2 linked regions of the Oreochromis niloticus genome follow. The protein of the gene in region 2 purifies or fractionates together with the protein of the main gene of each other region. This does not show direct contact. Links are inferred from orthologs where the notes say so. Each region holds a gene or a part of one and is shown on either strand. Other genes may lie near its edges.

Region 1 (3,921 bases), on a different chromosome or scaffold from region 2:
GCCAAGAAACCTGGATCAAATCACCAGCTGGTAGTTAACCTGCTCTACTTCTATTTCTAGATGTCAGAAAACATCTTAACCAAGATAGAACTGAAAACTCGCAGGTTCTAAAAACTCAGCAAGAGAAACTGTTCCCAAAGTGACATTTCTTTGAACCAAACCTGAGGCAAAATGTATGAATAATTCCCCGTTTCTACAGCCAGGATGCCCTAACCCTAGCCCAATCAAAAACAATGTTGAAAAATGCATTTTACATAATAACAGTTTTAAGGTTTACACTTTAACCTAACACACACAAAAAAAATCAATATCAGGAGGAGACAACTTCTTTGGAGCTTGCAGCAAGAAGGACATGTGACCCGTGGAGCTATCCTATCATGGTCTAATGATGCAACATGAATATTCGGACAATGTTAGGCCAATCTCACTTGATTTTTTTATTTCAGCTGCATACATAGTCACCATTTAGTAGACAACTGTTAACCTACCACAGGGTTAGGGTTAGGGTCCAGATTTTTTTTTTTTTTTTTTAAATCTGCAATCTTACTTCTCAACCTTAATTAAGATAAAAAAAGAAAAATAATAATAAACCAGTAATTTATCAACTGTGGATGATTCAGATCTATGTCAGCTAAAATATCTTAGATATAAAATATAACAGCAAGCTGTATAATGTGTTTTCATTTAGAATATTGTTCATGGACAATAGATGCATCTCTTAACATGTTATATTTTGATAATACTATTCAGAATACTCCACATTTTCTTTTAAACAAATAATCATTTTAAAAACTTCCAAACACTTTTTTAAAAGCCTGTTCATCCACCACACGTCCAAAATGAGTTGAGAAATACAGAGTCTCCGCACTGCTGTATCTCTTAAATTTCAGTATGGTCTCATTTACGGAGTCCCCTGTGTCTCCAATGGTCATGACATCTGACACTGGCAGGTACATATCATGGCGCTTTCCCCAGAAAGTGAGGTGGGACACTTTGAGCGTGGTCTGAGATGGATCCAGATACATCATTCCCACCACCCTTCTGAAGAAGTAACTGGCAGTATACAGCATAACACCAGCAAACAGAGCTATCCCTGTCGTGTAGCCGACAAGAAAGGCGGAGGCAGCTCCCTGGAAGTAGAGGACGTACACCGGGGGCAAGAGGACCACAGTTATTGCAGTTTGGAGGAGTTTGAGCCTGGACACAGCTCGAAGGAGCTTAATGTATGGCAGGGTGTAAATCATAGTGTACTTCTGTGTGGACACATCCGAGTAATTAACAAGGGCTGTGATTTTAGGGATAACAGGTCCATGTAGGCGCTGCTGAATTGGCCTGAGACTTGGTGAACAAGGCTGCAAACTGTAAGGTGTTCGAGCTGCGAACAGACTTGATCCTCTGGTGAAGGACAGGACGTGGGGAGTTAATCTGCACCGAAGAAGCGACCTGATCTGTAGAAAAATAAATAACATCAAACAGATAAATTCAATATGACATGTTATTCTCTGTCAGTATTTCCTACCAGGGTTCATCAATACAATCTCAGAGAACAACACATGTGGGGGATCAGATAAAGACCTGTTCCAAAACAACTACTGATGGCATAATGTAACTCTACAATGGCCTTATTTAATAAATAAATAAATAAATAAATAAATAAATAAATAAATGGAGTCTGGAGAAAATGAAGACATTGATGGATTCTCATACACATTTTCCACATGTGTGTTCTAAGCAAGTGCATTATCAATGTATACCTGTAAGTATTTGTACCACATAACCCGTCTAATGGCATGGACATGTATAGTAATAGGGGTCTCATCTCCAGCTGATATAGAATCCTCCACTTTGTGCAGGTGGTACTCTGCACACCAGTTCACAAACCCGTCCGCTCCAGCTCTATGGCTGGAAATAAGCTCCACTCGCATATAACTTGCATCCATTTAGTTTAACAGACACGGTTGAGCTCTTTGACAGTAGGTAAAGTTTCTCACAGAAGGAAAATAGATTGCTTGTTACCACATTAGCAAATGAGGACTTGCCTCTAGGCATACCATCTGGAAACCAATACTGTAAAAGATCAGGTTTAGCTCTTCATCAAGCCAGGTGGTAAAATATGAGGGAAGCACTTTTTTGGCTCATTTAGGTCACCACAGCAGATAATTTGCCTCCACCTCACCCTGGTATATCCTCGGTCATATCTAAATATCCTCTTTTTTGCTTCTGCCTGGCAACTCCATCTTCAACATCTTTTATCCAATATATCCATTATCCCTCCTCTGCACATGTCCAAACCATCTCAGCTTTGCTTCTCTAACTTTGCCTCTAAACTGTTGAACCTGACCTTTCCCTCTGATGCGCTCATTCCTAATTTTGTCCATTCTGATCTCTCCCTATGAAGCTCTTACAACTCTTCCACCTCCGATCTTTTTGCCAGTGCCATCATGTCCAAACCATACATCATAGCATCACTACCATCTTGCAAACCTTCCCCTTCACTCTTGCTGCCATAAATCACCCCAGACCCTCATCTCAGCCTTCCTGTACTCTCTACTTCACTTATTTTGTGCACTGTACGTTGCTATTGCAGTAATATACAAAATATAATATTATGCAGTTGCTTAAAAAAATACAAGAGGTATACCCAGACGAACACTTGCAGTACATGTACAGCAGCTGTTGTGTAGCCGCTGTGTGGAATAAAAGAACCTGAAGGTGCACATGTCCTGACTGAGCTGTCACCAATGACTGTAGAAAACACACAGCCCTGCCACAGCACTAATGACCTTGTGTGGCTAAAAATTAATCTTACTGATAATAACAGTCAATGCTGGATAAGAGCTTGCATATAAAACGAGGCTTACCATGATCAGAGACCAGCTAAATGAAAGAAAAACGCAGAAACAAGAAAGATGGATCACGAAATGACATGACTTGAACGAGCGCTAACAGGAAGCAGTTATGCGGTGTGACCCGGATGTGCTCACCTTTAACGTCTCGTTTTTATGTTAATGTATGTTTAATTATTTCTTTTTTTTGTTCCGAGACATCCTGTGAGAAAGCTGTCAATGATCGCTCTGTAACAGCTCAGTGAGAATAATAATTACAATTTTATTATAATTTTGAATAAATCTAATTCATTTTGGGGGTGTTAGCTTAAATGCGGAACGGGAAGCGTAAATCAGCAGTTCCCTTTAAGTCGCGGACAGGGGACTGTCTCTTGGTAATGAGTGTTTTATCGCCGGGCAAAACATGTTCTTATCTCATTTAGGTCGTTTAAAGAAACTAAAATTAGGACAGTAAACGTCCCACACCTTAAATGCGGAACATTTCCTGCCAGGTGCTATTTTCTGCTGTGGGACAGGTGGAGAAGACAAAGACAGGACAACGATGGTCCAGCTGGGAGATGAAGCGACCCTGTACTCCCTTATCTTCGTGGGGATCCTGCTGGGGACCCGAAGCCCGGTGTGGACAGTGGTCCTCACCGCCTCTCTCTACCTCTTTCTAGCCATGTTCCGCTTCCCACAGGTACCATCCAGCCGAACCCAGAAGGTGCTCCACCCAGTCAAGGGCACGGCGGGCACCGGCAAGGTGTCGGTGGTCGCTCACCGGGGCGGCGGGCACGATGCACCGGAGAACACGATAGCATCTATCCGAGAGGTGAGAGAATGAGGTGGGGAGGGTTTTGGAGCGATAATCCTTCATATGCCCTTTTTTGTTTCTTTTTTTATGGCAGTGGTTGCAAGGGGAACTACTGCGATGTCTTTAACTTCTGGTATTCACACCCAGTTTGTATCTGGATAACTTATCAGCACAGAGAACATGCATTTTAAGGCCACCACTGTTCCAGCAGCACCTTCTATCACAATGTTATCAGCCAGTTCCCAACTAGCCAGCCTCGTTTAACTAATCTGCATGTTGAGA
Region 2 (3,921 bases):
CTTGAGTCTGTGTGGGTTCTCTCTGGATAATCCAGTTTCCTTCCACAGTCCAAAGACATCCACGGTAGGTCAACTTGTGATTTCTAAACTGGTTGTCCGTCTGTCTGTGTTAGCCATACTAGACTGCTGACATGTTCAGGCTACATCTCAGCTTTCACCCCACGACACTTGGGATAGGCTCCAGTCCACTCATGATTCTGAGGTGGATAAGCAGTTAAGAAAAGGGATGCAAGGATGGGTTTAGGCAAAGCAGCTCACTGGATAGTGTGTAGAAGCCAACAAATGCCACCCACTCAACAGAGGTAAACGCACTGGACTATGAGCTGTGCTATTTGTATTCTTATATGCACCTCTCTCTGTGAAGTCCTAGAAAAGGTCAGTTCTGTAACACCACACTGACTGAAGTGATTGGAAGAAAAGAGCCATGATTACATTTTCTAATGTTTTCCGGGGCTTTTGTTTCACTTTCTTTAAGTATAGCAACCTTTTTTAAACACATTTCTTAGCTTTCTGCATTTTCTGTTGCAGTATCAACAGTGCTCACTAAAAACTAGCACACAATACATGTATTATGCATATAAGCAAAAAGCATGTGTAGCAGGTAAACTAAAATATATAAGGCAGCACAATGAAATGGCACAATGTGATTAATTTTTTTTATTATCCAATAACACACTTTTAAAAACTGCAGAAGCATGTGACTGACAACTGACTTCCCTCTACCTGCACCTGACTCTCTTCAAAGCAGGAGAAGCACTGACGTTACTAACGTCAATTAGTAATCTGGGTCACACAAATGGGAGAGAAATTAAGCTGAGGCATGTGGTCAAGTAATAAACTTTCTCACTTGCTGTAATCGAGAGAATAAATATTAAAAGCATTGTCTTGCTAGCATAAACAGCCTCTTTTTGATGATTCTCACTCCATCGCAAAGTATCTACATACAACTAAACTGTTAACCACAGGAGGTTTAAACAGCCAGAATAATAATGTGAGGGTCCCACACCTGCCATTGAAACAACTCTGGCAACAACTCATGCCAGGAACTGGCTCTTTGAGGTTTTCAGCAAGTTTCATTAGCTCTTCTGTTAGCAACAATTTGCTGCGCATGTGCTTCATGGAGCCTTGGGCACCTACAACTCATCATCTGTTTACCAGTTGTCGGCCCTTTAATTTGTCACATCATCACTGGTCAGATCATCCATTACCATGGGCTGAGCTTCCACTGCTATGCTGATGATACACAGTTATCATCAGCATAGCAGTCACTTCCCTCCTCTGTGCCTTGTAAACTGACTAAAAAGACATCAGAATTTGAATGTCAGCAAACTGAAGTCTTGGTTGTGGTTCCCAATTCAAAGCTCCCGAAGAGGGAGGTCCTCTGGAGGTCAACATCATCAAATCTATCTCTAAATCTGCCTTCAAGAACACATGTCCAGACTAAAACCTTTATTCTCAAACTCTGCAGCTGGAACCCTCACTCATTCCTTATCACCTCCTACTTTAACTACGCCAATGATGTTCTGTTTTGGTCGACCATCCCTAATCTTATACCTCCACCAGAGACTGCCACTTCTCTTCGTGCCCTTGCTCATACAAATCACTGCAAACTGACAACACAGAAAAGTTCTAATATGTTTTATGGTGACCCCAGCACTAAAATGGCCCATTCTAGCAACAAAATAGGTCACACGTGTTGATAACTTTTTAAACTTGTGAGATGACCCGAGTGGTCCAGGTCTTCGTCAAGTGACAGGAACCCAGATTATTTGTTACACTCAGACTCACCTGAGAGCTCCAGTGGCAGTCTCTCTGACAGCCAGGCTCCGGTCCAGCAACATGGGACCCAGGCGCCTAACAGCATCCCTCTGGAGGAAACCCGGAATGGTCTGACTCTGCTGCACCACCCGAGAAATACTGGCACATGCAAACTCTCGCACATCAGCGCTGGGGCTCTGCAACTATAGGAAACGTGTTTAGCACGTTAGCACGTGACACCAGCTGTTCAAAATCTGAAGTACTGTGTGTTCATTCAACTATCACCAGGTGACCTTTTGTAACACGAAATATAAAATCAATAAACTGATCGCTATACGTAAGGCCATTTAAATCACAGAATATAAAGTGGGGCGCAATAATCTTTAAAGAAAATGCTAGAAATTGCAAAAATAGGAGCTTTGAAACGTTCAAAGTTAGAGACATTCATGTAAGAAGAAGCAGTGTATGTCCCTACTTTCTCAAGCAACTCCGCAGCTGGACAGCTATCATCACCATGCTCTTCCTCCTCGCCGTCTCCTTCCTTCACCGCAGTCACCGGCAGCCCGACCGAGTTGAACTGGGGACGTTTAAACTTATTGGTTTTACTTTTACCCATTTCACGTGATTATTAAAGTGCGAGTTGCGCGTATAACGCGGTGTTTACTCCCTCCTCTTTTCTCTGACACTGGGGTTGTTGAGGATCAAACACACGCTCCGGCTTCTGCCTTGTTGGAGGCCATGTGGAAGACTGTTCCCTGCCGTAAAGTGTTGGTTGCTAAGAGAAAGCACGACACTGTCGCAAAAGCGCACGGACTACGCATGTAACAAACTGCATAGGAAGGATGGGAGAAGGCAACAAGAAATAAAGAGACAGCTCTGATATTCCCACGTCTTATGAATTTATTTATTAGGCAAATAACCTTTAAAATAGAAATATTTTAGATAAAATACATGCTCAACAGAAACAGAAATATACCCTCACTCTGAATGTGTAAAATATATCAAAGGTTACATGAGCAAATCAGCAGCTTCAATGATGACAACACAGCAACACTGTTAAAAAAAAAAGAAAAGAAAAGAAAAGAAAAGGGCCCTCTCAGTTCATTTCTTTGCTGGAAATGCATTTCCCATCATGCTTCATCTAAGAGCATCCAAAGGAATTAAAGACAAGAAGGCAATCAACAAAGATGAGGCCTGACAGAACCCAGGAGCGTGTGGTCACTGGATGTTTGGTCGTGGTTTCAGAATAAGTTTCCCCGTCTGCAAAAAGACAAGGAAAAATTAAAAAAAACCCCAAAACTTAAATTTTAGTAAAATTGTAAAAAAAATAAAAATCACCATGTTGACTCACATCATCACAGGACATGTTGTATTCTGCTAAAACTGTGCGGCAGCGAGCAGCAATACTGCAGGGGTAACGGTTAAAGACAATAACCAGGAATGAAAATAGGAATGAATCCACTATGTGATGTTCCTAAACCTGACAAAACTTGGCTTTGGATATCTGCTACTGATACGGTGTACAAGAAAAGAAACTATTGAGAGATCAATAAACTCAATTCTTTACTGTGACAAAGATAATGGGATTTCAGTCAAACAGGCTGTTTAGGAAGGTGAATGAAGTGACCTAGAGGTATCTGCATGGAACCCCAAAAGAGCTGGTCAAATTCTCTAAATACTAAAGAAAGGTGCTTTCAGTGCTTTAATAACCTCCTAAACAAAATGTACACCAGACCACCCTTTATGAAACCAAAGTTCATTCACATCAAATAAAGTAATTAACATAGCTGACAAGTGCAGTGCAAATCCTGATTAACAGTGCATTTTCTATTTCATGACATAATCTCCTGATATGGTTTTGAGCCTTCAACAACAGGCTGTTAAACCCACATGTGGACTCTGACCACTACACTGCTTCTTATCAAGCTGTTGTCTTGTTTGAAGCCTGTTTACTTATAATAGGAAAGAAAGCTTTATAAATATAGACTATGGGCAGAACTAAGGCAGGAACTAGACTGAATCATCTCTCCAGTGGGAAGAGAAAATATGAGTTGACAGGATGGCCAATGTGGCAAACATTTCAAGTTATTTCATTTAATAAGATACTTATTTAAAACTAAAAGTAAGATTTTTCCCTCCAGATGTTCTCTTTTTAGATGTCCT

The links.
Region 1: the proteins of heatr3 (region 2) and tmem186 purify together in Homo sapiens (co-immunoprecipitation; 3 studies listed by BioGRID and IntAct, counting the BioPlex papers as one, with this or other methods). This does not show direct contact. The link is inferred for Oreochromis niloticus from reciprocal best matches to the Homo sapiens genes HEATR3 and TMEM186.

Annotation. Positions count from the first base shown.
Region 1 is NC_031971.2:30,541,308-30,545,228, forward strand, and holds the start of tmem186 (transmembrane protein 186), read right to left. Parts: upstream 2,937-3,921; 5' UTR 2,865-2,936; coding exon 2,862-2,864; intron 1,449-2,861; coding exon 786-1,448; 3' UTR 1-785. Other genes in the region: gde1 (glycerophosphodiester phosphodiesterase 1), read left to right, coding at 3,388-3,657. UniProt on the Homo sapiens protein: As part of the MCIA complex, required for efficient assembly of the mitochondrial complex I.
Region 2 is NC_031965.2:31,698,701-31,702,621, forward strand, and holds the start of heatr3 (HEAT repeat-containing protein 3), read right to left. Parts: upstream 2,518-3,921; 5' UTR 2,375-2,517; coding exon 2,234-2,374; intron 1,962-2,233; coding exon 1,789-1,961; intron 1-1,788. Other genes in the region: cnep1r1 (nuclear envelope phosphatase-regulatory subunit 1), read right to left, coding at 2,977-3,018, 3,110-3,164. UniProt on the Homo sapiens protein: Plays a role in ribosome biogenesis and in nuclear import of the 60S ribosomal protein L5/large ribosomal subunit protein uL18 (RPL5). Required for proper erythrocyte maturation.